Linked DNA regions of Canis lupus familiaris. The protein of the gene in region 4 binds, or shares a complex with, the protein of the main gene of each other region. Links are inferred from orthologs where the notes say so. Each region holds a gene or a part of one and is shown on either strand. Other genes may lie near its edges. The genes, in order: KANSL2, KANSL3, DR1, WDR5, YEATS2, SGF29 and CXXC1.

The links.
Region 1: WDR5 (region 4) and KANSL2 share a complex: the UniProt entries of both Homo sapiens proteins name them as parts of the NSL complex. The link is inferred for Canis lupus familiaris from reciprocal best matches to the Homo sapiens genes WDR5 and KANSL2.
Region 2: WDR5 (region 4) and KANSL3 share a complex: the UniProt entries of both Homo sapiens proteins name them as parts of the NSL complex. The link is inferred for Canis lupus familiaris from reciprocal best matches to the Homo sapiens genes WDR5 and KANSL3.
Region 3: WDR5 (region 4) and DR1 share a complex: the UniProt entries of both Homo sapiens proteins name them as parts of the ADA2A-containing complex. The link is inferred for Canis lupus familiaris from reciprocal best matches to the Homo sapiens genes WDR5 and DR1.
Region 5: WDR5 (region 4) and YEATS2 share a complex: the UniProt entries of both Homo sapiens proteins name them as parts of the ADA2A-containing complex. The link is inferred for Canis lupus familiaris from reciprocal best matches to the Homo sapiens genes WDR5 and YEATS2.
Region 6: WDR5 (region 4) and SGF29 share a complex: the UniProt entries of both Homo sapiens proteins name them as parts of the ADA2A-containing complex. The link is inferred for Canis lupus familiaris from reciprocal best matches to the Homo sapiens genes WDR5 and SGF29.
Region 7: WDR5 (region 4) and CXXC1 share a complex: the UniProt entries of both Homo sapiens proteins name them as parts of the SET1 complex. The link is inferred for Canis lupus familiaris from reciprocal best matches to the Homo sapiens genes WDR5 and CXXC1.

Annotation. Positions count from the first base shown.
Region 1 is NC_049248.1:40,821,200-40,825,445, reverse strand, and holds the start of KANSL2 (KAT8 regulatory NSL complex subunit 2), read left to right. Parts: upstream 1-1,446; 5' UTR 1,447-1,456; coding exon 1,457-1,583; exon of another isoform or gene 1,584-1,788; intron 1,789-2,104; coding exon 2,105-2,363; intron 2,364-3,555; coding exon 3,556-3,734; intron 3,735-4,246. UniProt on the Homo sapiens protein: Non-catalytic component of the NSL histone acetyltransferase complex, a multiprotein complex that mediates histone H4 acetylation at 'Lys-5'- and 'Lys-8' (H4K5ac and H4K8ac) at transcription start sites and promotes transcription initiation.
Region 2 is NC_049231.1:46,404,935-46,408,434, forward strand, and holds part of KANSL3 (KAT8 regulatory NSL complex subunit 3), read left to right. Parts: intron 1-1,178; coding exon 1,179-1,370; intron 1,371-1,962; coding exon 1,963-2,047; intron 2,048-2,477; coding exon 2,478-2,605; intron 2,606-3,487; coding exon 3,488-3,500. UniProt on the Homo sapiens protein: Non-catalytic component of the NSL histone acetyltransferase complex, a multiprotein complex that mediates histone H4 acetylation at 'Lys-5'- and 'Lys-8' (H4K5ac and H4K8ac) at transcription start sites and promotes transcription initiation.
Region 3 is NC_049227.1:56,185,042-56,188,541, reverse strand, and holds part of DR1 (protein Dr1), read left to right. Parts: intron 1-2,027; coding exon 2,028-2,174; 3' UTR 2,175-2,183; exon of another isoform or gene 2,184-3,500. UniProt on the Homo sapiens protein: The association of the DR1/DRAP1 heterodimer with TBP results in a functional repression of both activated and basal transcription of class II genes.
Region 4 is NC_049230.1:50,406,207-50,410,221, forward strand, and holds the start of WDR5 (WD repeat-containing protein 5), read left to right. Parts: upstream 1-1,215; 5' UTR 1,216-1,277; intron 1,278-1,948; 5' UTR 1,949-2,036; intron 2,037-2,042; exon of another isoform or gene 2,043-2,189; intron 2,190-4,015.
Region 5 is NC_049255.1:16,824,854-16,828,822, forward strand, and holds the start of YEATS2 (YEATS domain-containing protein 2), read left to right. Parts: upstream 1-1,169; 5' UTR 1,170-1,319; intron 1,320-3,969. UniProt on the Homo sapiens protein: Chromatin reader component of the ATAC complex, a complex with histone acetyltransferase activity on histones H3 and H4. YEATS2 specifically recognizes and binds histone H3 crotonylated at 'Lys-27' (H3K27cr).
Region 6 is NC_049227.1:18,372,763-18,376,890, forward strand, and holds the start of SGF29 (SAGA-associated factor 29), read right to left. Parts: upstream 2,801-4,128; 5' UTR 2,614-2,800; exon of another isoform or gene 2,549-2,613; intron 2,384-2,548; exon of another isoform or gene 2,330-2,383; intron 2,324-2,329; exon of another isoform or gene 2,189-2,323; intron 1-2,188. UniProt on the Homo sapiens protein: Chromatin reader component of some histone acetyltransferase (HAT) SAGA-type complexes like the TFTC-HAT, ATAC or STAGA complexes.
Region 7 is NC_049228.1:78,682,965-78,687,077, forward strand, and holds the start of CXXC1 (CXXC-type zinc finger protein 1), read left to right. Parts: upstream 1-1,313; 5' UTR 1,314-2,125; coding exon 2,126-2,128; intron 2,129-2,702; coding exon 2,703-2,821; intron 2,822-2,920; coding exon 2,921-3,021; intron 3,022-3,281; coding exon 3,282-3,517; intron 3,518-3,608; coding exon 3,609-3,803; intron 3,804-4,113. UniProt on the Homo sapiens protein: Transcriptional activator that exhibits a unique DNA binding specificity for CpG unmethylated motifs with a preference for CpGG.

The DNA.
Region 1 (4,246 bases), on a different chromosome or scaffold from region 4:
GGGATCATGACCTGAGACAAAAACAGACAGTTAACCAACTGTACCATCCAGGCACCCCTCCTTTTTTTTTTTTTTAAGGTTTTATTTTTAAGTAATCTCTGCACTCAATATGGGGCTCCAGTTCACGCCACCAAGATCAAGAGTTGCATGCTCTAGCAATTGAGCCAGCCAGGCACCCCTGGTTGCAGATTCTGATTCCCATATTTTCCAGCTAGTTTTGAGTTGTAGAGAGTTTATAACAAATGTCTTCTTTGTATCCCTTCTGAGGGTTGGAGCGTTTGCTTATGTGTATATATCATCTTTTCTGTGGATACTATGTTTGTATTTGCATCCACAATCTGAAACTGCTCTAGAATGTTTACTCAAAAGAACAGGGTCATCTCTCTTGTTCTCTCTGTATCCCTAGTGCCTAGCACTTAGGTTCTCAAGTATTTGTTGAATGAATGAATGAATGTTCAGAAAAGGGCCTTCTGGGGACACCCTAATCTGGAAATGACATCTCTTCTACCTCCCCCTCTACCCCCCTCCTTTGTTTTAATCACTTCGTGTGCCTAAAGTGTAGTTGTCCAGCATTGTAGATTCTCTATGCACACTTGCAGTGTGAATCATACTCATCAGCTCATTGTTGCTGGAGAAACCTCTTAAATGAAACTGACACTAGATAAACGTTGTAAGGCTGGGATGCAGAAAAAAGGTCCAGAAGGGTTACAGGGAGAAATTGTTGGTTCCTTTCTACAACAGGTGGGGTGGAGATGAAAAAAAAGATACTTTTGCTGAAAAATCGTTAAAGTATGATAAGATTGGGATTGTCTGCTGTTTCTCTATACCTGCATTAGTTAGCATGAAATTGTAGAGAATTTTAGAGAAGTAGGGTCAAAACCAGAACTCCTATTTCCTTATTCTCAATCCAATGCTCTATGCTACATGAGAGGCAATTAAGGGATAAGGAATGAGAGCTGGGTTCAAATTCACCTCCCTTTTCCATTTACTAGATAGATAGAGAGGCCCATTCTGTTCCTCGGTTATCTTATCCGTAAGATGGAGATAACAACCTCGGCCTCTCAGGGTTTGCTCTGAAAATCAAGTGTTTAAATATGAAACTTCCCAGACTCCGTAAATACTCGTTTCAATAAATGACCTGCTCACTAAAGAAAATTACAGCCTTTTCCTGTATAAACAGTAGGAATCAACTGTACAGTGACCTTCCGGCCTCTGTATGTCTGAGTTTTTGCAGCCGCGGGGCCGGGGTGGTCGGGGGAGTAGCCGCCTCGGACCACGCAGCGGCCAAGCGCAGCCCGAAAACCAGCAACGCCGCGCTGGCGAGTCCCGCGGTGCGCGCGTGCGCGCACCGGGGGGGCGGAGTCACTGGCTGACGGACAGTTCGTTTTAGCCACCCCGGCCGCGCTGTCTCTAGCGCCCCGCCCCCTCAGGCGTGATAGGTAGCGGGCCTCGACCAATGGTGACGCACAGCCGTGGGCACCGTAACCAATCAGGGGTTGGGAGCCTGGAAAGGAGCGGGGCCGAGTTAGAAGCGGCTGGCGCGGCCAGAGGGCTGAGCGGCGCGGCGCGGCGCGGCGGCAGAGGTAAGATGGCGGCGGGGCTTCCTCTCGCTTCTGCAGTTAGGCAGCCGCTTCGCCCCTCGTGCTGTCTCCGAGCTGCTGCTTTGTTTCAGCCAGCGTCGAGGTTGCTCTCTTCCTATAGGCTCCCAGAAGCCAGATTCTCCCGTGCCTGGAGCCAGAGGACAAAATGGCGCTTGCACGGGCGGCCGGGGACGGGCAGGGCCCAGCCGTGAGCTCTGAGGCGGCCGGGACAAAGGCGGCGTGCGGGGAGGCGGAGGCCGGGCGCGGTGCTGCGGCGTGGCCGGCGCTCCCTCCTCGTGCGGCGGCCGTGCGAGACTGGGAGGCGCGCGACGCGCGGGTGGTCCGGGTGGGGGAGAAGTTGCCGTGAGACTAATGGCTGCGAGGAGGGGGGCGGGGGGCGGGGACCTACGGAGGGAGACTTGGGCCAGCCCTTTGGAAACTACCCGCGCGGGCAGCCCGGATGTTGTGCAGCAGGAATTTTCGGGAGGGCTAAGGGCTTTCTGATCTTTTGTGTGACCCTGCAGGTTTTGGTATGAATAGGATTCGGATCCACGTCTTGCCGACCAATCGGGGGAGGATCACCCCAGTGCCCAGGTCTCAGGAGCCCCTGTCTTGTTCATTCACTCATCGCCCATGCTCGCAGCCTCGTCTGGAAGGGCAGGAGTTTTGCATTAAGCATATCCTAGAAGACAAGAATGCACCCTTCAAGCAGTGCAGTTATATATCGACGAAGAATGGAAAAAGATGTCCCAGTGCTGCTCCAAAGCCCGAGAAGAAAGATGGGTATATATTTATATATATATATATATATATATATGTACAGATCATTTATGTCGTGTGTACTTTGAGTTTTAAAGGGAGGAGGGGGGTGGGTGGGATGAGGTATATCGTGAGGTTGTGAATAGCTGGAGTTTTATTTTTTTTTTATTTTTTATTTTTTAACTTTTTTTTTAATTTTATTTATTTATGATAGTCACAGAGAGAGAGAGAGAGGCAGAGACATAGGCAGAGGGAGAAGCAGACTCCATGCACCGGGAGCCCGACGTGGGATTCGATCCCGGGTCTCCAGGATCGCGCCCTGGGCCAAAGGCAGGCGCTAAACCGCTGCACCACCCAGGGATCCCCATAGCTGGAGTTTTAATGTTGAAAACTGGAAAGAGGGCCACTGACTTCATACCTTTTAGACCTTTTCTTTTGTCTGTAAAATAAGGGGATATTCTAGATTATTCTTACCCACCCACCCCCCCCTCCCCCGGGGTCCCCTGGCTCTTTGGGTCATGACCCTGAGCCTCCTTAAGCTGTGTATACGTGTATTCTTCTGGGAGAGGCTTTGTGGCTTTCATCATAGAAGCAAAAGTATTCACGCAGAAACAGAATTTGGCTAGTTAACTCTGCATGTGTAGTTTGGTTTTGAAATTGTGCCCCACGTCTTATTACCCACAGTGGATTGATAGCTGAAGTAAAATACAGAGTTGCCAGAACCAGTTTTGAGAGATGAAAGTGGATCTCTTTGATTTGTTCTAAGATGATGTCAGCATTTTTTATAGTTGAAATGTTTGGTTTGATGAATGAAGCACCAGGTTATGCTGCCTGCATTTCTGCTTGGTAATATATAATGAGCTGACCTTGGGCCGGTTAAATTGCTCTGCCTCACTGGCCTTTTTAATTTATAAATGAAGGTAATGCTCATTTTAATTTTTTTTTAAAAGATTTTCTTTATTCATGAGAGAGAGAGAGGCAGAGACACCGGCAGAGGGAGAAGCAGGCCCCATGGAGGGAGCCTGATGTGGGACTCAATCCTGGGACTTCAGGATCAGGCCCTGGGCTGAAGGCAGGCGCTAAACCACTGAGCCACCTGGGCTGCCCTCATTTTAATTTCCTAAGAATGATCTAAAGATTAGTGACTAAGAAAATGGTTGAACTCTTTGAAGAAGAAGGGACTGGAGTATAAATGTTAATATTTTTGTCTCCTTAGGGTGTCTTTCTGTGCTGAACATGCCCGTAGGAATGCCCTGGCACTTCATGCTCAAATGAAGAAGACCAATTCAGGGCCTATGGGTGAAACACTCTTGTGCCAGCTGAGTTCTTACGCTAAGACAGAGCTGGGGTCTCAGACTCCAGAAAGTAGCCGCAGTGAAGCCAGCCGAATTCTGGGTAAGGATCTTCTCCTAGAATGAAAAAGGAAAAAGTAAGTTAAAGAACTTGTTTTGGGTAGCACAGTGCCTTGTGAATATACATGGCATGTGATAATAATGTAATTCATTGACAGTTTGGTGAGAATTCCAGGATTGCTGTGTTCACCAGTTCTTTTCAGTTTGAAGTAGTGTGTGCTTGGGTTTATTTTTCTGAGTTTTTGATGATTTCCTTCATTGTTGTTTATGCTTGTCTTTGTGAGGCAAGGTAATTTCAGGAAGCAAGAATAATTTTGAGTTGACCTTTCTGCCCTTTTGAGGGCAAGGTTACCTTATTTATGTTTTAAGTAATCTTACCTGGGTTGTATTTTTTCAAGCCAATTTTATTTGTCAGTGCCTTTGTACTAAGTTGTTGGGGCTTTTTTTGTTTGTTTTCTTAAACGTTAAGGTTTGGGTTGATGTGTTAAGTAATCTAGTTTTGTGTGGTGGAGTTACGGAGGTGGGAAGTCTTAATGGCTGCTCTCCCTTCCTTGC
Region 2 (3,500 bases), on a different chromosome or scaffold from region 4:
TATACCCTGTGGCCTGGAGTAGCTCTCTGTGGCCCAGGCCAGGAGCCCCATCCCTGCCTGCCATCCTCATAGGACTATTGTTTTCCTCCCCACCCTACCCCTGATTGCCTATGCTAAAAAGAGGGCCTATGGTGGGCTTCTGGTTTTATTTTTATTTTTTAATTTTTTAATTTTTTTTTATTTATTTATGATAGTCACAGAGAAAGAGAGAGAGGCAGAGACATAGGTAGAGAGAGAAGCAGGCTCCATGCACCGGGAGCCCGATGTGGGATTCGATCCCGGGTCTCCAGGATCGCGCCCTGGGCCAAAGGCAGGCGCCAAACCGCTGCGCCACCCAGGGATCCCTGGGCTTCTGGTTTTAAAGAGAAGGGAATCTCTAAGGAAGCCTGAAGGATAACTTCAGATTCCGAGAGGCTTGGTCATGTGCAAGATGAGTATGTTTGATTCTGTGGAGGGGGAAGGCTATGTGTGAACAGTTGGCCTTTCTCTGTACTAGTACAAATGACCTGCGGACTACTTGTGACATGGGCCATTGTTGCCCTGTTGCTTTTGGGCAGGAGCAGTAAAGTTGTCTTGGCTAAGATGCTCCTTTACCTAGTAGCTACTCAAAGCCAGTGTCAATTCCTGGCAATAATTCTTCTTGTTGCCTTCATTTGGCAACCAAACACTCAACCTTGGGCTCTTAGGACAGAGTAGGACTCTGAGAGCCTGTGAAAATCTCCTCTGTAGAGAGGACTGGGTAGTGTGCTCCTCTACTACTGCTTTGTGGGATGTTTCCTGTACCCCAGCTATGTGATGTGGGGTGGGCCTGAAACAGGAAAATTACCACATTGAGTCCAGGAAGCATGGCTTAGGTCCCTTGTAGTGAGTCCTCTGTTGTTTGGCCTTTGGTAGGCAGGGTTAAGGTATCTTCTCCTTTCTTTTTGTTCCCACCAACTCAGAGCCCCCTACCTTCTGTCTCCAGAACAGGATAAGGGATGGGGATGGGGCTATCCTCTGAAAGGGCAAGGTGGCCTTGTACCACAGGTGGGACCTGAGTGAGGTGGGATTGAAGCATTGGCAGTTGCCTTTGAAGTGTGATTTTGTGTGTGACACACAGACATGCCCATGCTGGTGCTGTCAGTGTCTCTCGGGCTTTTTTGGATTGTGGAAGACCTTACCGCAGGTCCATCTCTTAGTTCCCATTTCATCAGAACAAACGGAAGAGGCAGAGAAAGAAGATCTTAGGGTCCAACTGAAGCGCCATCATCCCTCCAGTCCTCTTCCTGGCAGTAAGACCTCCAAGCGACCGAAGATTAAGGTATCCCTTATCTCCCAAGGGGACACAGCTGGAGGGCCTTGTACTCCTTCCCAAGGAGGAGTTCCAGAAGGTGAGTTTTTCTTGGCCTGTTTAAAAAAACTGAGCTGTCTCAAACCACATAACATTACTCTCTTGGTGACTACTTGCTGTACAACTAAGCCTCTGCTTCAGTGTAAGATGTGCCTGGAGCAGAGAGGACATGCGGTAGCACGTGGGACAGACATGGACAGTGACCTGATCTAAGCTAGGATCGGGGAGGCAGAACGAGGATCAGAGGGAGCTCAGGGGTCATTCAAAGTATCATTATATTTTGTTCTTTACCAGTTTCAGTTAAAGATAAGAAAATATTCCAAGGATGCCTGGCTGGCTCAGTTGGTAGGGCATGTGACTCCCAATCTCAGGGTTGTGAGTTTGAGCCCCTGTTGGGTATAGAGATTATTTAAAAATAAAATCTTAAAGTAAATAAATAAAATATACCAGAAAGTTTAAAAAATAGAAGAAAAATAGAACTCTCAACTCTCCCTATTCTACTGTACTTGATCTTCATTTTTCTTTGACCAATCTTTGTCCATAATATTTTGCATTTAGCCTAGGTTGTGAAACTCTGAATAGTAGGGGCCAGCCAGGACTGACTGGTGACCTTGGTGTTTTCTGTTTTGCAGCTGTGGGAGGGAAGCCCATCACCATGACGCTGGGGCAGGCTTCAGCTGGGGCCAAAGAGCTCACAGGGCTTCTCACCACCACCAAGTGAGTCTATTTCTTGGCCTCTCTGGCTCTGTTCCTTTCTTTCTCTTCACCTTTTTCCTGGTTGATTTAGTGCTTGGAAAGATGGTGGAGGTTGGATTTTGTCAGTTTGGAAATATGACTTCTTTCTTAGTGGGATCTTTGTCTTTTTTAGGGGGTTAGCTCAGAGGTTTGTTTTGTTTTGTTTGTTTTTTTATTTAAAGTTTGCAGAGCATCCCATAGCTATTGCTTCAAGGTTTGGTTTGAAGTTTTAACTTAAGGCCTGACTTTCAGAAGGACTAGAGACTGAATTCAGAAGGTGGGACAAGGAAACTCTGGGTTCTAGTGTTCATTACTATAAGCGTTGCTGGGCCCCACTCTGAACCCTTCCTATGTTGTCAGGGTCTGTTGCCCTCTAACCTTTGGATAATAGAGCTCCTGTTTTTGTCTCCAGGTCAAGTGCTTCTGAAGGGGGAGTCTCAGCCAGCCCAGCCTCCTCAGTGTCCAGCAGCACAGCACCTGGTGCCTTGCACACACTCCAGAGCCGTCTGGTGGCCACCTCTCCTGGCAGCTCCCTCCCAGGTATCTGGTAGCTCAGCATTCTGAGCCTCCCAGCAAAGTGTCTTTTGGGTTGCTGCTGGAGGTGGTCCTGGGAAAGCAGCTGAATCTAAAGAATGTTCCCCTGAGTTGGCAGGCTTTCATAGAGGCTTGATGTGAAGCTGGAATTAACTTTGAGGTGGGGGAGTTCTTGGTTTTAATATTCACAGCGAGTATATACCCCAGTCTGCAGGTAGTATCTCTTGTACTATAAGGAAGAGAAATAGCTGGTGGGAGATGTGTGTATTGTGTTCATTGTGGTGTTTTTAAACATATCTGATTGCAGAAAACTGGGGATTGTGGTGTACTAGCATTAATAAAACATAAACCGAGGCACCTTTCTGCCTCTGCTTGTCTCCTTGCTTTCACCACCTCACCCTACATATGATGGCTGATTACCTGAGCCCAGAAGGGCCAAGGCTCTGGAGGTGTCCTCTTTTAGGAGGACCTCCCTCTTTGCTTTGTGGCCTCTCGACTGTGTAGTGAAATGAAATCAGATATTTGGAATTCTTTTGGCTTAAGAAGCTGTCCTTTTCCCTGGAAAGGATGGAATTTAGATTTCTGAAAAGTGGGGTTCAAGCTCTCTTCGGTTTTCCTAAAACTGTCTAAAACATAAGACAGGTGGTTTGGAGCAGGTGGGGATATGTGGAGCAAACCCAAGGCAGTGTGTCTAGCAGAATACTTTTCTTCATGAGGGCATGCAGTGTGCATGCCCAGGGAGCCCTTCCTGGCATCTTTCCGAGAGCACTGGGGATGTCCCAGGAAAAGAGCAGTGGTACTTTAGTTGGCTGTGGAGGGTGGCTGAGTATGGCTGCTCTTGGGATAAGAGATTGAGCCTGTGCTGACATGTGTTATATCCTCTCCTAGGGGCCGCATCAGC
Region 3 (3,500 bases), on a different chromosome or scaffold from region 4:
TTCATAGATTTTCAGGATAATTTGAAGGTTTTCTAGGTAGTTTGGTGGAGACAGGTGATTTGGAGACCCTACTCTTCCGCCATCTTGCTCCTCCCCCCAGTATTTCAGTTTAATTTGAAGGAAGAGTGGAATTTCGATAGGTGAAAAATAGGAAATTTCAAATAGAATGAATATCAGCATAAGGTAGTGAAAATGGGGAGGGTATGGTGTATATGGGCAACATTTTATGTTCTAGATTTTTTTGGAGTACCAGGTACATATTACAAAAATTGATTTGGGAGATAGATTTGGGCAGGCAGTAATTTGGAGGACCTTGAACTCTAAGCTGAGAAATTGGACTTAATTGGTAACAGATGATTTTTTTAAAGTATAATGATGGTCTGATTAGAATTCTCCTCTAGAAATGTTTGGATAATAAATTCAAGACAGATTATTAAGAAAAATCAGGAATATACAGGGCAAAATCTTAATGTTAGAATTATGCTGAGTACTACCATTTCCCACAAAACATTCATTCAGAAAATACCAGAGCCTATGTGTTGGGAATGCAACAAAGAGTATGAAAATAGTCTTTATTCTCAAGGCTAGTGGAGAAAAAAGATACATGCTCAGATAATTAAAGAATAAAGTAGGTAGATATGAGAATGCATAGAGAATTATGGCATATGAAATAGAGTGTACAATATGACCTAGAAGGATCAAGAAAGACTAATTTCTGTTTTAAATGGTAACTCGGAATTGGCGGGTACGAGCCAGGCTTAAGTAACAATTCTGAGAAAAGGCAGAGAAGGAGAAACAGCATTGTTTTGGTAGAATCCAATATGATCTATTCAGGAACAGATTCATTCGTTCCCTGTTGGTGTGATTTTTCTAAAGCTAATAGATAAAATTAAATTGGGAAAGAGCTTTTAGCTGTTGCAACAGTGTGTGTAATGCCTATATGTGTATCTTAGTTTCTAAAATTCCTTATTTTATTAAGAATAAAGCTTTAAAATATAAAGCCTTATTTATTTGTTTATTTAAAGTAGGCTCTATGCCCAGTGTGAGGCTTGAACTCTTGACCCTGAGATCAAGAATTGCATGCTCTACTGACTGACCCAGCTAGGTGCCCCAGTTTCTAAAATTCTCTGATGGTTGTGGAGAGGATATATCAGAGGAATGGATCTTAACTATCTCACTTAAATTCAGTTCTGGATAAGTGCCTTTTCTCTAGTATGTATATGGGAAGGGTATATATGTGTGTACACACGTGTATGTATTTATGGGGCAGGGGTTCAGAGGAGAAATGTGTATTTAGGGTAGGGAACTGTAAGAGAAACTCAAACTATCGGAGCACCTGGGTGGCTCAGTCAGTTAAGCATTCAGCTCTTGATTTTGGCTCAGGTCATGATTTCAGGATTGTGGGTTAGAGCCCTGCACTGGGCTCCGTGCTGGGGCAGAATTTGCTTGTCCCTCTCCCTCTGCTTTTCCCCCCTGCTTGAGTGTGTGTGTGCTTTCTCTCTTAAACAAACAAATAAATAAGTAAAATCTTAAAAAAAGAAACTCACACATCAAGGTAGCTATTGCATTCATATTTATTAGTACTTAAGAGTTAGAGGTACTGTACTAGACAACTTTTAAACCACAGAAATAATTTTTAGATTGAAAAATGTTTACGTGTTAATTTTAAGTTGAGAGGACAAAAGAATCAAAACAAAAGGAATGAGAAGCAGGAAAGGAACCAAAAATCTTTCTGCCAGCTCTTTCAACTTCAGTTGAACCAAAGGTCATAAAATTATGTGGCATAAAGGGTACTGCCTGTAAGAGAACCAAGTTTTGGAAACTGTCCTCAGCTGACAGAGAGGCAATGGTCTAACTATATTTTCTTAAAGAGTTCATATTCTCCAGATGTGTAACAGTTATATAGTGGTTGGAAAATATCCAAATTTGATAACTAAGTATGTAATTGGCTTAATCTATATTTAACCAAAGTGAGTATGTTGTGAATTTAAAAAAAAAAACTTTGTTTTTATGTTTTTGGTGTTTAGGCTAGACAGCAGCAAGCAGAATTGGCCCAGCAGGAATGGCTTCAAATGCAGCAAGCTGCTCAACAAGCACAGCTTGCTGCTGCCACAGCCAGTGCATCTAACCAGGCAGGATCTTCTCAAGATGAAGAAGATGATGATGATATCTGAAATTTACCAGCTGAGTTTCTATTTCCTCTATAAATGTTTTTCCCTGCACAAGAAAACAGTGAAAGAAATGCTTATCTGTAATTTTGTATGCATCTTGGTGGACTTGCCATTGGTATTCTAGGGATGTCTGCTGTTAAGTTTCATCTATTGTGTGCTATTCATGTAAAAACTGTCTCTTTGAACTATTGAAAATTTAAGGTTCAGTATAATATCAATTTTGAATTTTTAATGGTGTTTATGAAATTTTAGATAGCAGTGAGTCCTTTATTTGATCAATAAACAGTGTTACAGAAAACGTCAAGTTTATAAAATACAGTAAAATTTATACAGAAACTCTAAATCTGCATTTGCATTTCCTCTGCCCTTTTAACTAAACTAAAAATTGGGAATTTTAAATTATTGGGGGGAGGGTGTTGTGTGATGCAGTAGATGTTAGATCAGGTTGGTGAAAAAACAAAGAGTTCAGTTTTGTAGTATCTGAATTTTTTGTCTTTTAAAATGGGTATATATATATATATATATATAGGCAATAAATATATATGCTCAGATAAATATACTTGTTTAAAAAAATCTCAAAACATTCAAAAACTAGCAAGGAGTATGTTCAATAGTTGTATAAATTCAGTGGGTTATGTTTTTGATTTTGTTTTTGTTTTATGTAGAAGTGAAAACTACAGTTTTATTATGGCATAATTCATCTTGAGCTACACTATTACATTTCAAAGACTACCCAATTTTGAGGACTGTCATGATTCTTACTATTTCACTCCAATAATTGTTAATAGTATTACTTGCTCAGTCCATCCATGTTTATTGGACCTTGTGAAACAATTGCTTAGGTTCCATTGGTTTAAAGGAGATTCATGAATATTCAGACCTTTGCTGGGGGAAAGAAATGAAAGTTAATAAGCATGCTTACTGTAAAAGAGGGATTTTTTTGTAATTTAACTTGTAGTTATAGTTTACTTATTGTTTGTTTTTAGCATTACTTTTACATTTTCTTGACTAGATGGCCTAGAGTGTCCAGTGCTTCCTTTTGAAATGGCATCATTGTCTCCATCATAATTGAGTGATAGCTTTAAAAATGATTGGTTTTATTTTAAGAAAGTGTGTCGTAACTGATCAGCCGTATATGAAACGTAAATAGTTTCAATCTACTCATTAAAAGGGAGAAGCTTTACTTTGGTTCTAATAAATAAAGTATGGTAGTGATTTTTACAGGAATCCAATGTGTTGAAGAAATGACATATTGTTTGTATTTTGGAAACAGAATGGAAAAGCCACTAAAGATAGTATAAAGTAGTCTAAATTCCTATGTCAGTTGCC
Region 4 (4,015 bases):
GTCCTTCTTCATCTTGTGCTGGTTTGTTAACTTCTGTAACAAAGGTGGCCCAAGGTGACTAGGCTCCCAGGAACAGAGATCCACACAGCGCCACGCCAGGGCCAGAGACTTGGCGCCACACGATGCTCCTTGGGAGTGGCCTGCAGACCAGCAGCCTGTCTCAGCTTGTGTCCTGGACAACCACACACCTTGTTCCCTGGGCATTTCCTTTTTACATGATGTCCTCTTGTTAGCACAGGTTCCTGCCACATATTTGGTGTTTCCGTCCTTAATTGGGAAATAAGACTGCAGGTGATGCTGCCTGGGATGGGGGTTGGGGCCTGGGAGCTGAAGACTGCCTCCAGGACTGTAAGGCCCGCGTGTCGTTGTCGTGTCCCCCCCCCCCCCCCCAACGGGATGAGAACACACAGGACTTGGGCCAGAAGGCGGGCTGCAGGCTCTCCGTTTGCACGAGCCCTCTCCTCTGGGGTTCCCCTTCCTCGTGTGTACCCGGCCATGACAAACTGTCCTGGAGCCCACCTTGCAGACAGCAGAGCGGCCTGCGCCTGGTGACTGCCGGTAGGACGGCCCTGCACTGTCCCTGGCCGGGGCTCTCTGCCGGTGGCGGTGGCGGTGGCCGGCAGACCGCGCAGGAGAGCTGGGGGTGGGGGGGGGGGGGCGAAGCGCAGGGGAGCCGGCACCCTCAACCTTGCTGGCTCCGGTCCTGGCTTCCGGGGCGGGCATGCGCGGAGACACCAGCGCCGCCGGCTGCGGTGCACACGGGCTGCGGCGGTCAGCTGCGCGCCACGGCGGAGAGGGGCAGCGATCCCCGAGGGAGGGTCTCCCACGAACCCTCGGGCCCTGCCTCCCCTGCACGCCCGGGGGCGAGCCCTGCTGCTTTCTGGAGGCGCCGCTGCAGGCCGCGTTCAGGAGGTGAACTTTCGAGGGGCACACTGGCACTTTCCTGGAGGTATCATCATACTTCCGTTTTTAGAAAGTGCACAAGAAGGACCTGCACCAGCCAACTTTGAGGTTACCCCTTTGCACGCCGTCCCTTTAAGGCGTTGGGCCTGCCCCAGGCCTTGTGCCCCTCGCCGCTCCCCGTAGTGCCCCTCCGAGAGGCCGGCTTTGTGCACTCGCCCCGCCCCGCCGCCGCCCCGCCCCCCGCGCACGCGCACGCGCACTCCCCCCCCCCCCCCCCCCCCCCGCCGCGCCGCCTCGTCCAGCTCGGCCCGGCTCCCGCCCAGGCGGCGGCGACGCGACGCCCCGAGCGCCCGCCCCGCCGCCGCGGCCGGCAGGTAAGCGGGGCCCGCTGGGCCAGAGACCGCACACGGGGTGCGGGCGGGGGCCGACGCCGGCTGCCCCCCGGCCCGCCCCGCCGCCGCACGTGTTCCGGCGGGCCGGGCCCAGGTCCCGGGTCCCGGGTCCCGGGTCCCAGGTCCCAGGTCCCGGCCCAGCCCCGCCGGGGCCCTCCCGGTGCCGCGCCCGCGCCCCCACCGCCTCCCTTCCGGTGCCCACCCCGCGGCCCTCGCCCTCGCCCGCGCCCGGGCCCCGCGGCGACCCCTCCGCCTCCTCGCGGCCAGCCCCTCCCGAGCGTCCCCCGCGACCGCGCTGCGGCCCCCCAGCGGCCCGGTGACAGCGCGCGGGCCGGGCCGGGGACCTGCTGCTGCAGCCGGCGCGCGTCTCCCCGAGCTCTCCGCCGCTGCTCCGAAGAAAGAGCCCAGACCCGGCGGCGGGGTCCTGGCCGGGCGCGCGGACCGCGGCGCCCCTCTCTGCGGAAACGCCCCCCGCCGCGCCCTGCTGCTGACCCCCAGCCCGGGCGGCCGGGCCCAGGTGCGGCTCGCCCTCAGCAGCCGGGGACCCCGCTCCGCAGCGCCCCGCGCCGCCTGAGTGTGCTGTGCCACAGCCATTTTGGGTGACGGCAGAGACACTCCCTGTGGCCTTCTCATGCCGCTTTCTGCCCACCCAGGTCCCTTACCCGGCGCTTCGGCACTGGCAGCTGCTGTGCCACACGCTGCCTCCGAGGTCGGCCCGGCCCCCTCCCAGAAGGCAGATAGGTAAGCTGGGCTGGAAGCTCCGCGCGGAACAAACAGGCGGGGAGAGCGGCACACCCCGCCCCCTTGGTCCGGCCACCTGCGGGTCACCGGGTTACCTGCCTGTGGGCCAGTCTCGGGTGGAGTCCGGGGATCTGCATTTTACAAGCAGTGCAGGTGAGCACCCCGGTTTGGGATGGTCAGGCTCACCTGGGTGAAAGGCCTGTGAGGGCCCAGAGGGGTCAGGTGGCGTGTGCTCTGGAGGCCGGTCCCTAAGCAGCTGCCCCGTTGCTTTCCCTGAGCATCGCGGACAATGCAAGGCTTTCCCTCCTCTTGAATGGAAACTGGGGGCATGGAGTCAAGAAATTGCACATTAATGTTTTGCTAGCCCAAGGGATTGGCAGATTGGATTTGATGGAGCTGGGAGGGGTTCGCACACCTCTTCTGTGAGATTAGCTGTGGTATTCTCTAGTCCTCACCTTGAGGGCAGGTAGTTTGCTGGGAGTCACACTCCACCTCCCGGCGGGTCTCAATTTTTATGTTAAAAGGAGCAGCTCTGGGTTCCCTGAGCTGCCCAGGTCACCCCCAGAGGAAGTCTCTTCTGTTCCCACTGCTGTTTCTCCCCCACACCTCTCCTAGCTCTTGCTGATACCTTCTTCAGATACTAGGTTTTGTGAGTCAGTCTTTCCAGCTGTCTTCCATAGCTTCCCCCCGCCCCCCACTTGTCCATCCACCTAGAGCAAGGCAGCACTCGGATTAATTGGCATGACCGGGTTGCACTAAATTTACTCACAAACCAGCTAGTATTTGCTGAGCACCAGCTTTGTGCCAGCATTTTTGTATCTGGGCGTGATTATGTGACCTGCTCCAGGACTTGGCCTTTGGGTGCAGCAGGATCCATCCTTGGGCATAAGCCCAAGTCCTTGCTATATACAGGTAGCCAGTGGGACCACATCTGTGCTCTGCACAAGTATGTTGCATTGTAATTTCCCTTTTGGATAAAGACTTTAAGACGTGGTCTTTTTTTTGATGGACTTCCATTTTGCCTTGGTGTGACAAGGAGTCGTGCAAGCTTTCAGTTTTAAGTGCCAAGCTAGAATTTTACACCGTGTACACCATTAGATTAACAGTGGTGCAAGCTTCCAGGAATTGGATGACCAGTGATGTCTGCAAGAACACCATGGTGGTTCCCCCATTTCAGAGTCACCAGGTGTGCTTCTAGGAGACGCATCTAGGATCTGGAATCTGTTCCTGGGCTAGAGCAAATGAGTCGCTTGCTGTACAGCTTGGGTAGCTCCCATTGTCACGCTGAAACCTAATTGAGCTGCGGTCTTTCCCCTCCTGCAGCGAGAGCTTGCTTGCAGCCGATCTGTGTACACTTCAGGCTTCAGCAGCAGACAGGGCTGGCTCTGGTTTGCACTTCTCAGCTGTGTCTTGTAGTCGCCTCACGAGGGACAGAGCGCCTTTTGAGCTGCCAGGGTTCTGGAGGCGGCCTTGTGTCTACACCAGACGACAGGGAAGCCCCCTGGGAGATGCAGACCGCTGTGGGGCGGGGGGTGGGGGGTGGGGGGGTGTCTGCTCTTGTATATTTTCAAACGTGGTAGTTAAGCACTGTTGCATCACTTGTGAGGATTTGGACGAGTTCCCAAATTTCTACACCCTGAAGCTCAGTCTCCTGTAATTTGGGTTGGTTTAGGGTTGTTTTTTTTTTTTTTGTTACGTTTCAAGGGCTCTTTGAAGAAAATTGCATTTTGTTTGCCTGGCCTGAGCTGCATTCCTACCAGGAGGATAACAGTAGGGAGCACCCTTGAAGGTGGGGCCTTGGATTACATGGACAAAAGGGGCCTGGGCAGCCTGTCTTAGCATCTGAAGAGTATTTAGTGCAGACTTAGCTCCACAGATAGGTTCCTCATTTTGGAATAGTGTGTCTGCTCAGGGCCCAGCAAGGTGGGTGAAGGTTTTTCACCCTTTTTGCTGGGAATTAATTTTTAAAATATGGCTTG
Region 5 (3,969 bases), on a different chromosome or scaffold from region 4:
GGGTGGGGGGGATGGAGAGAGAGAGAATCTCAAGCTGACTCTCTGATGAGCAGAGCCTGAGGAGGGTCTCTATCCCACCACCCTGAGATCAGGACCTTGGTAGAAACCAAGAGTTGGAGGCTCAACCGGCTGTGCTAGGCAGGTGCCCCTAACAAATACTTTTTCTTTTTATTTTTTTAAGATTTTATTTGACAGAGAGAGAGCATAAGCACAGGGAGTGGCAGGCAGAAGGAGGCAGAGGGAGAAGCAGGTTTCCTGCTGAGCAGGGAGTGGACTCCATCCCAGGACTCTGGGATCATGACCTGAGCCTAGGGCAGATGCTCAACCCACTGAGCCACCTAGGCACCCTTCAACAAATACTTTTTGCATGCATGCTAAATTCTTTAGAACAATTTATTAAATTTAAGTACATCCAAAAAATTGATGACATAAATAGTATAAAAAATTATAAGTGAACTCTCTCTAAACCTACTACTCAGCTCCAGGGGTAAATTTTTACACAGTGAGTTGAACAGATTGAAGGAAGACAGAGACAGATCCCTGGAGAGCTGCAGCAGTCTTGGGCAGAGAGATGATGAGGCCTCAGGCAGGATGTTACAGGAAGAAAGAAAGGGAAAGGTGGGCTCAAAAGATACTTAGGATTTGATGGATGGTCACTCACTAGTTGTATAAACTAGTGAAGTCCCAACCTTTCCGAGCCTCAATTTCTGCATCTGCATAATAGGTCAGTGATAACTATTGTTATCCGTATCCCTAGCACCTAACACAAAGCTTGGCACAAGATGATAAACACACACAAATCATTACTACTGTTTTAGACCTGTGGGAGGTTCATCTACGCTGGGAGAATGAATATCGGTCTGTCAGACCGGAGGCTGGAACTCGCCATCTTCTAGGGAGGAATATGATAAATGACGGTGCCTCTGCCAGAACGGGCATCCAGGCTCCCCAGGCAGTGCGGCAGCACCAGTCCCCATCAGAGTCCGGCCGCCGCCAACCCCAGCTCCAGCCCTGCGCGGGGCCCAGCCCCCGCGGGAGCCCCGGCCCCGCCCACATCCCTGCAAGCCCCGCCCCCGGGCCGCGCGCGCGCCGCCGCCGCCGCCGCGCACGCGCGCCTCGCCCCGCCCCTGGTGCTGACGTGCGAGGCCGAGAGGGACGGACGGGCGGGCTCCGCCGAGCCGTGTGCTTCCGCGGGCTCCGGGGTCGCTGGGGCCTCGTGGCGGGGCGGCTCCGCGGGGCTTCGCCCGCTCCCGCACCTCCCTCGTGCCCTCTCGCCGCGCCCGGCGGGCCCTGCGCTTCGGCCGGAGACCCGGGAGAGGGTGAGTGTTGGCGGGAGCGGGGTCGGGCCGGCCGGGCGCGCGCTCCGCTCTCCCGGGCATTGTCTGGGCGGGGGCGGCGCGGGCACGTGCGCTCCCCTCCCCCACCCTGCCCGCCGCGCGGCCCCGGCGGGCGGGGGAGGGGGAGGGAGCCGGCGACTGCGGGCCGCCGAGCACCGCGGGGAGCGGGCCGGGTGAGCGTGCCGGTCGGGGGCGTCTCCGGAGCGGGAGCCTGCAGCTGCGTGTGTGGGGTCCTTCCTCGGGGCTCAGCGCTCTCCGAGGGCGGCGGGGTCAGGGACCCCCGGGGCTGGAGCTCTCGGCCTGTTGGGCTCGGTGGCCTGCGGTGGAGACGGAGACGAGATTTGGCTCCAGCACCGGCAAGTTGTGGGTTTACCGACAGGCACCGCGGAGTCTGCTTCCAACCTGTCGCCATCCTTACGGTCCTCCCTCGCGAAGGATGAGTGGGATTTAGAAAGGTTGGAGGATTTTCCAGGCATACGCTCCAGTTAGAAGCACCAGAGGCGTGACACAGTGCGGGGTGACAGCGGAAAGCTTGGGAAAGTGAGGACTTGGAGGAAAGGCTGGTTTGGTGGGTTGTGGCCGGATTGCAAAAGACAATGAATGAGGTTTATATCATAACCTTGTCTTCTATCGTGAGTGTAATCAGGGTAAAGAATAGAAAGTAGAGGAGGAAAATATCACCAAATAACCCCACGGCCCTGACACCTCTTTCTTAGTGTTCTGGATGTGTTTGCTGGTATTTTCATCTGAGCTTGTAACAGTTGCAATTAGAGTTTACTTACAATTTTCCATTCTCTTTTCTCCTTATGGTGTTAAAACGAGATGTAATATACAGTATTCGGCAGTATCCTTTATTCTTAATAAGCAAATAGCAAGTATTCATCATAGAAAAATGAAGAAATATAGACAAGCAAAATGAGGAAGAGTATTCATAGTTCTGCTGCCTCGAGATATTGCGTATTTTTGGTTCTGTATATTCTTTCAAAGATAGTGGGGCAGATAATGCCCTGGTTAGGAATTTAGTTTTCATACGAATCCTTTGAAGGTTTTAAGAAGGCAGGTAGCATAATCTGACTGCTCTGTAGAGGAAGAGGGTGAATATGGGAGCGGGGAGATCAGTTAGGATGCTGTTTGCAGTACCTTGAACTAGGTCCGTGGCAGCGAGATGAAGAGTACAGAGATTTAAACATTATTTTGGTTGTAGAATGAACAAGACTTGTGAGTGGGTTAGTGGGAAAATAGGAGACTTCTTTACTTTTTTTTTTTTTAATGTGTTTTTAAGGATTTGTTTATTTGAGAGAGAAGGATTGCTTGAGTCCTAGAGAGCAGGAGGAGGGGGCAGGGGTGGGGAGGAGAGAGAGAGAGAGAATCTCCAGTAGACACTCTGCTGAGCGCGGAGCTGAAGTGGGGCTCTATCTTTTGGCCCTGAGATCATGACTTGAACTGTCAAGAGTCGAATGTTTAACATACTCGGTCACCCAAGCACCCTTTTATATATTTTTTAAAATTAAGTTAAACTCTCTTCCCATCCTGGGGCTTGAACTCAGGTCTCTGAGATCAAGAGTTGCATCCTCTACTTACTGAGCTAATCAGATGCCCCAAGAATTCTCTCTCTTTTTTTTTTTTTGGTAGTTGTTTTGAGCAGCTATGGGTAGATAGTGACATTTACTGAGAGGGAGAAGAATGGAAGAGAAACTTGAAGGGGGAAAAATCACGAGTTCTGTTTTGGGTATATTAAATGTGAGATGTATATCAGTTATGAAGTTGGTATATTGAGGAAATTGGATGTGCAGGTTTAGAGCTCATGGAAGAGAGAGCTAGGAGCTGTTAGATAAAACTTTGGAATTCATTACATAGATGATATTGAAAGGTATGGGACTGCATGAGATCACCAAGGGAAAGAATATAGATAGAGAAGTGAAAATTGACACTTGATCGCTAATACTTCGAGCTGCAGTATGGGAAGAAGATTGAACATAGAATGGAAGAAACAGCCAATGAGGTAGGGAAAAAAGGCAGAAGACCAAAAGGTGTCATGGAAGCCAGGAAAAATAAGTTCAGAGAGGATAGAGGATGTCCATCCCTGACTTTGAGATGTTTAGTGAGATGCTCAATTGGATTTGGAGGTTGTTGGTTTTGTTATTGGTATTATTATTTTTAAGATTAAAAAATTTTTAGTGATCTCTACACCCATCGTGGGGCTTGAACTTAAAACCTGGAGATCAAGAGTCTCATGTGCCACCAGCTGAACCAGCCAGGCACCTCTGGTCATTGTTATTATTATCCAGAGTTCTAGAAGTGGGAGATGGAAACGGGATTGGAATAATTAATTGATTGGGGCTTGAGGAAGGGAAGATAATGAGTGTGGATTAGAAAAACCTGGGCCTTTTTCGAGATGCCTTATTTCCATCTGCTCCCAAACTAAATTTGGTAGGTGAAAAATGGTGTCTTGTTTAATTTTTCATTCATTGATTACTAGAGTGTTTGAACATTTTTTTGTTTGTTTGTTTGAACATTTTTTAACATATATTTGCCATTGGTGATTTTCTGTATCCTGTGTATATCTTTTTGTGTTTATCACTTTTGGGAATTGATTATCAAGAGTCCTTTTAGATCTTGAAAACATGTAGTT
Region 6 (4,128 bases), on a different chromosome or scaffold from region 4:
CACTTCAAGAGTTGTACTTGCCAACCTTCTCACACCACAGCACACACAGTACAAAATATTTCTGGTAACATTTGTGTGGCACACTCAGGTAAAAGGCAAAGCTGCTCACAGCTGGAAAAGAATGGCAGGGGGATCTGGCTGCCCCAGGCCCCACTCATCTGCCCTGATGCCAAGGGCAGTCAAAACTTTCAAAGCATGGTATACAAACTTCTGTTCTTGCATTGTCACACATACATTGAGAGACTGTTTCACTTACTTATCTCTCCTGCAGACCACGAGCTCTTAGAAGACTGACATGCAGTTGTATTCGTCTTTATATTCCCAGAAACTAGCCCAGGGCCTAGCACCTACTAAGTCTTCAGAATACATTACTGAACCAAACTGAATCCTGGAAATCTCTTAAAATAGTCTCTCAACAATTCTTAAGTTGGGCTATTCACTATCTTCCCTCCAACCCCAGGAAAAAAAAAATTGTCCCCTTTTTTTTTGGGGGGGGGCAGGTTAAAAAGTAAGCTCTATGCCCAATGTAGGGCCCAAACTTATGACTGCAAGATTAAGACCTGAGTTGAGATCAAAAGTCAGATGCTTAACCACCTGAGCCACCCAGGTACCCCAATTAGTTGATATTATAGATACTTCCCTGTATAAATGCACTCATGAATAGTTGTCAAATACCTACTCTATGCTAGGAATGAGAAATATACATCAGTGAATGAGACAAAGAGTCCCTGTCTTGCTTACAAAACTCACAGTCCAGAAAGGAACAGACATTAAACAAGTAGTTCCATATACTTATTTGTAGGTGAAGTAAATACCTTATAAAGGACATAGAAAACAGGATACATGGATAAATTTGAATAAACGATGACAGGTAATGTTGAAGAACGGAAAACACAAATTCTCAGGCAAAAATGACCAAGTGCCAAAGAGAATATCCACAGAACACTCAGTAGTGAAACTTCAAAGCCTTAAGGGCACATACACACTAATACACTGGAGAAGGAAAAGGGGGGGGGCAGGGCCAGGCTGCAAAAAAACACCAAGAATATATCAGTATTTGGCCTGAGTTGGCCTGAACAACTGGAAAAATGGGAAGACTGGGGAAAGTGGTGAAGGTATGTGAGGGGTAAAACTCAAAATTTCAGTTCTGGACATGTTTGAGATGCCGACTCGACACTTTGAGATGTCATTTGCAAGCTGAATATAAAAATCTGGTCTTGGAGGTAGAGCACTGGGTCGAAGATTGACATTTGAGAGCACAATAGATAGTATTTCTATTTAAGGCCTTGAAATAGGGACGCCTGGGTGGCTCAGCGGTTGACCGTCTGTCTTCGGCTCATGGCATGATCCCGGGATCCAGAACCGAGTCCTGCCTCCGGCTCCTTGCAGGAAGCCTACAAGACTCTGCCTGTCTCTACCTCTCTCTCTCTAGCACTCAAGAATAAATAAAGAAAATATTTTTAAAAAGAAAATAGTTTTGAAATGGATAGCTCCTAGGAAGTGGACACAAAGAAGAGCTTAGGATGAGGGCGTGGGCGGGGGAGTATAACCATTAAAGATAGGGACGAGGAACAAGAAATCAGCAGAGGAGAAACCAGAGAGCTGAAGCTAAAGAAGAGAATGTTTAAGAGGCCTGGGTGGCTCAGTGTCTGCCTTCGGCTCAGGTCGTGATCCCAGAGTCCTGCGATCCAGTCCCACATCAGGCTTCCCGCAGGGAGGGAGCCTGCTTCTCCCTCTGCCTAGGTCTCTGCCTCTCTCTGTGTTTCTCATGAATACATAAAATATTAAAAAAAAAAAAAAAAATTGGGCAGCCCGGGTGGCTCAGCGGTTTAGCGCCGCCTTCAGCCCAGGGCGTGATCCTGGAGTCCGGGGATCGAGTCCCACATCGGGCTCCCTGCGTGGAGCCTGCTTCTCCCTATGCCTGTGTCTCTGCCTCTCTCTCTCTCGTCTCTGTGTATTCTCATGAATAAATAAATAAAACCTTTAAAAAAAATTGAAGAGAATGTCCTACAAATCAAACGAAGAAGTGCTTCAAGAAAGGGCAGTGATGAAGCGCATCAGCCATTGCTACAGAGGTGAGAACGAACTGAACACTAGCTTTGGCGACCGAGAGGTCACTGGCGGTTTCCACCAAGTGCTATTTTAGTGGAGCGCTGGGGGCCTAGACTAGAGCGGGTTCGAAAGAGACCTGGAGATGAGGCGCCAGCTAAGGCTGAAGCCTCACGCTGCAAACGGGCGCCGAGAGATGAGGAGGCAACTGGAAATCTCCGGAGGGCGAATGAAGTTGTCTCGTTAGAAGGGGCTCAACCCCGCTGCCGTCTTCTCGCACCTGAGCTGAAGACCCCGCCTCCGCCGCCTCTGCGGCTTCTGCGCCCCGCACGGCGAACGCCCGCTTCCCCTCCACGCCGCGCCGGCCAGCGCATGCGCAGAGCCCAAAGACCGCCGCCGCAGCCCCACCCCTCCCCGAGCCCCGCCTCTCCCCGCCCAGGGCGCGTGCGCACCGCCCCCCGAGAGTTGCCCCAGCGAGGCCCGGGAATGGGGACGTACCGAGGGCGACCCCGGCCCTCCGCTCCCGCCATTCCCCGGGGGCCCCAGACTGCGACCCATCCCCACCTGCCAAGCCACGGAATAGGCACGTCGAGCTGGAAATTACGACGGCAGCCGCGGGCGCGTCCCTCGAATGTTTTTCAAAGTCTGAGTACCGTAACGCGCTTGCGTTCGAAGATTCGCGGCACGTCGAGAACTACACACGCTTTTTCCCTTTTACGAGCTAGTCGCAGCGCGAACCTTTCCGCGCATGCGCCGTCCTTCCTTTGTGACGTGTCGCGCTGCTCCTTGGGAAATGTAGTTTTTATTTTATCAGTCTATGCCCGATGCCCTAAGGGAACTTAAGAAACCAGAGTCCTTGTGTGTTTTTAGTATCCTCTCTCATTCCCCAAAGCCTATAAGATAATTTAAAAAAATTTTTAAACCTCAAGCTGCCCCAAAAGATGTAGTTTATTATTTTAGTTTTTTTTATTTTATTTTTTAGCTCTATGGTTTTTTTAGTTTTTTTTTTTAGTTGTTTTTTTTTTAATTGAAGTTCAATTTGCCAACATATAGCATAACACCCAGTGCTCATCCCGCCAAGTGCCCCCCTCAGTGCCCATCACCCAATCACCCCAACCCCCCGCCCACTTCCCCTTCCACTACCCCTTGTTCATTTCTCAGAGTTAGGTGTATGTTTAGTTTTTTAAAAATAAAGCAGATCGGATCCCTGGGAGGCGCAGCGGTTTGGCACCTGCCTTTGGCCCGGGGCGCGATCCTGGAGACCCGGGATTGAGTCCCACGTCGGGCTCCCTGCATGGAGCCTGCTTCTCCCTCTGTCTGTGTCTCTCTCTGTGTGACTGTCATGAATAAATAAATAAAATCTTAAAAAAAAAAAAAAAACAGATCTGTAGACCCAAAAATTGCACTTTGAGGGAATCTTCTCAGGACCGTATTAAGGACGTGAGTAAACATTAAACTACATTAGTTTACATTCTAGTAAATGTCTTATAATTTCTTACATAACCCCTATCAAAGTTTAAAATTACATTTTATATCGTTTATTTTTTAAAAAAGATTTTATTTATTTATTCATGACAGCAGACACACAGAGAGGCAGAGACACAGGCAGAGGGAGAAGCAGGCTCCATGCAGGGAGCCCGACATGGGACTCGATTCGGGGTCTCCAGGGTCACATCCCAGGCCAAATGCGGCGCTAAACTGCTAGGCCACTGGGACTGCCCTATATCGTTTATTTGATTCACTTGTCAGCTCAATAAGATTCGAATCATCTGTTTTGTTCACCTGTTTTCTCATTACCCAGCACATTCCTAGTACCTATGAGAGCAGATAATGGGCCCTCAACATTTTTGTATGCACTTAGAAGAATCTCAGACTTCAACACAAACTATTTCAGCCCCAAACTAACACATCAGTTTATTTTTCCCATCAAGGTTGTTTTTCTTTGTGTGGTCTCTTTGTCAATGAATGGCATGACCATCTATCCCATCTCAGCTGTATATCCTGCATTTTATGAAGCTGATGTTGACAAGGATTTCACAAATTTTGCCTTTGTAGAGGTCTCGGGAGCTATTTCTCCTG
Region 7 (4,113 bases), on a different chromosome or scaffold from region 4:
ACCCGATGTGGGACTCGATCCTGGGACTCCAGGATCGTGCCCTGGGCCAAAGGCAGGCGCTAAACTTCTGAGCCACCCAGGGATTCCCCTGAACTAATATTTTAAATAAAATTAAATTTAGTAAGTCAAGTCAGTGATGTTAAATTAAATGAGTAATTAATTTAAGTTAAACTTGAACTATATTCCCTTAAATTTACTTTCATACATCAAATTGTAATTAAGTTAAAATTGAATTATTTGAAATTTATTGGTTAAATTTATCTGAGTATCTTACCAACACATGCATATTCATTTATACTAACTAAAGTTAATTTAATACATTAAATGAACTAAATTCGAAGAATTATGTTAATTAAAATAAGTTACAATCAAATTAAGATTAATTCAGTATTAACTAGAAAAAGGAGGCAAGTCTGGATCTGAAGGTCCACTTTGTGGATTAAAGACGGGCTTTAGGGGATCCCTGGGTGGCGCAGCGGTTTGGCGCCTGCCTTTGGCCCAGGGCGCGATCCTGGAGACCCGGGATCGAATCCCACGTCGGGCTCCCGGTGCATGGAGCCTGCTTCTCCCTCTGCCTGTGTCTCTGCCTCTCTCTCTCTCTCTGTGACTATCATAAATAAATAAATAATTCTAAAAAAAAAAAAGAAGAAGAAGAAGACGCGTTTTAAGGAGAGAGGGTCACACAGTCCATGATGCAGCTCCTGTGACTTCGGTTGTCTGTGACGGTGTGGAGGGGCCACGAGTAAAAATGTCTAGGAAAGGTGAAAACAAAAACAAAAATCAGACCCGACACCGCCCTCAGGAGAATCATCAGGAGCAAGTACGTTACTATGATGTCCAGAGCCAAGAAATCCAGAACGACTGTCAGCACCCGGTGACAAGTTTCATTTTCCCCAGGCCCCCCGCCCCCCCAACCTGAATAGAGTCGTGACCCTGAACGCGGACATTCCCTGTGACCCGGGCTCGCGCATCTGCTGGGGGTTGGGGCGGGGGCGCTGACCCGTTAAAACCCGCCCGACCGCTCAGGTTGCCTGAGTTACAGCCTGGCCTTAAGGACGTGTCCAGAGCTCCGACCTGTCCGGTTTTTTTTTTTTTTTTAAATGTACGGAGTCTAATTAAAAAATTGTAAGAACTAACTTCATAGGAGAGAATTGAGTATGTCTGATGGAAGAGAGCCAGAGTGGACGTCACGGGGATCCCGGCGAATCCACATCCCGGCGGTGGCGGGGTCAGGGGAAGACGCGGTGTAGCCGGTGTCTCGGGTTCCGGGGTCTGCTGTGGCTCGGCCCCTTGTCACCAGGGTCGGGCCCTTCACCTGCATCCTTCCGTTCGGAGGGTGACCGCGCTCCCGCAAGGGCCGAGGCTGCAGGGCGCCGGGCTGGGCTGAGGACCTTCGAGGAGGACCCGGGGCGCGAAAGGGTGGTGAGGATGACGTCAGACACAGAACGGGGGAACATGGGCACAGTCCGCTGGCGCCCCATTAACACACGTGGGAGGGAAACGTGAGTGAATGGAAGACGGAGTGTAACTCGAGGCACGTGGTGTTTCGGGAGCAGCCGCTTTTCCTTTGAACTTCTCTGCAGGGCAAGCCGCCATCGTACGGAGTCGATGCCAAAATGGCGGCGCCCTCCTGGAGACCGCGGGTAGGACGCTGCCATGCATTGCCCGTGAACGTACGGACTCGGCCATCTTACGGAATCAGTTTCCAAGATGACGGCATCTGCGTGGAAGCCGCGCACAGGCGCCGCCATATTTCCTGTAACGTTGAGTCCGTACGAGCGGCCACCGTACGGAGTCGGCCGACAAGGTGGCGGTGCCCTCGCGAAAGCGGCCACATAGGTGCGGCCATGTTTCCTACTAGTTTACGGCCCTGACCGCCGTACGGTCTTGGTCGTCAAGATGGTGGCGCCTGAGAGACCGTGGCGGCTCTAGGCGGCGGATCGACTTGTTTGGTGCGGAGCCGACGCATTAGTCCTGCGCAATAAGAGTACGGTGCCCGGGAGGCGCGACCAAAGCGGAAGTAGTTGTGGGCGCCTTTACAACGGCCGCGGACGCCGCCGAGAGGTCTGTGCGGGTTCGCGGGTCGCTGGCGGGGGTCGCAGAGGGGTGCGCCGAGAGCGGAGAGATGGTAAGTACGGGGCCGGGGAGGGTCGGCGGTAGGGGTCGGCGGGTCGGCGGCGGGGGGTCCGTGGGCAGACTCGGGGGGTCTGTGGTGAACCGTCAGGGGCGTCCGCGGGCGCTCGGGCGGGGGCCTGTGGGGAGCCTCAGAGGGGGCTGCGGGTGGAATGTCGGGGTCCGGGGTTCCGAGCTTGTTCCGACGTGTGAGCCACCTGGGAGTTTTGTGACGGGCCCCTGCGCGGCTCCGTGATGGAAGTTAGTGGGGACGCCTTTCGGCAGCTCGTCGGGGGCCCGCTCGGGGACTGCGGGGCGGCGGGACCCGGCGTCTGGGCTGAGCCTGCCCGGCGGCCCGTAGCGAGCGGGGCAGTCGGCGTCGGGCCGGCGGGGAGGCGCGAGGGGGCGGGGCTGCCCGGGCGCTAGTGACCGTGACCGCGACCGTGACCGTGAGCGGGGCGGGGCGGGAGGTCGGGGTGCCGGCGTGGGCCGGGCCGGGAGGGTCGCGAGGAGCCGCGGTGGGAAGCGTGGGCAGACGGTCGCGGTCTGTGGAGGCCGTGGTGGGGCTGCTCTAAGGCACCGTCCCGCAGGAGGGGGACGGCTCCGACCCAGAGCCTCCAGACGCTGGGGAGGACAGCAAGTCGGAGAACGGCGAGAACGCGCCCATCTACTGCATCTGCCGCAAACCAGACATCAACTGCTTCATGATGTGAGCCGGGGAGAGGCGGGCGGGCTGACGCCGGCGAGGTTGGGTGAGGCTGATGGGTGCGGCCCCTCACATCTGCACCACTCACCCCATCCTCTGCAGCGGGTGTGACAACTGCAATGAGTGGTTCCATGGGGACTGCATCCGGATCACTGAGAAGATGGCCAAGGCCATCCGGGAGTGGTACTGTCGGGAGTGCCGAGGTGAGGGGGCGGCCTGGACGGGGGGCACACCCACCTGCCTCCAGGGAGAAGCCTTCAAGGAGGGTGGGTCCCGGGCCGAGGGACTCGGTTTGTGGTGAGCTGCAGCGGAGACTCCAACGGGCGCTTGGCTAGAGCGTCCCCCAGCGGGGTAGCCCTGCCCCGGAGGAGTGACGGGGAGAAGGTGGGGGGGACCAAGATGAAGAGGAACCCTCCGAATCCCTCAGGGTCCACCCACCCTGGCCCCACTGTCTTCCCCACAGAGAAAGACCCCAAGCTGGAAATCCGTTATCGGCACAAGAAGTCACGGGAGCGGGACAGCAATGAGCGAGACGGCAGTGAGCCCCGGGATGAGGGTGGAGGGCGCAAGAGGCCTGCCCCGGATCCAGACCTGCAGCGTCGGGCGGGGTCAGGGACAGGGGTTGGGGCGATGCTTGCTCGGGGCTCTGCTTCGCCCCACAAATCCTCTCCACAGCCCTTGGTGGCCACACCCAGCCAGGTGAGTGGCTGCTGGGGCTGGGATAGGTAAGCTGAGCCTCCCGCAGGCCCCGTACACGTTCCTGATTTTTGTACTGGGCCTCTCCCCTCAGCATCACCAGCAGCAGCAGCAGCAGCAGCAGCAGCAGCAGATCAAACGGTCAGCCCGCATGTGTGGCGAGTGTGAGGCCTGCCGGCGCACCGAAGACTGTGGCCACTGTGACTTTTGTCGGGACATGAAGAAGTTTGGGGGCCCCAACAAGATCCGGCAGAAGTGCCGGCTGCGTCAGTGCCAGCTGCGGGCCCGGGTGAGCATGGGTAGAGCTGGGCAGGGCTGGGGGTGTCAGTGTGTCCAGGAAAGGCTCGTGGAGGCCAGGAGGGGGCAGGCTGGGCGGGTGAGCTGGGGCCTTGCTACACACAGACAGGTGGGAAGGAGCCTGGCCTGTGTAGGTGAACAGGGCGTGACCAGGTGTGTGGGGCTAGCAGGGGCATCCCCGACCCCAGGTGGGCAGGGCAGACCCCCCCCCCCCCCCCCCGGCCATTTTCAGCGGTCAGGCACGTCAGGGCAGGTGGAGCAGGGTTGAGCATGTCCTGGTGATGTGAAGCGGGGGTACTAGG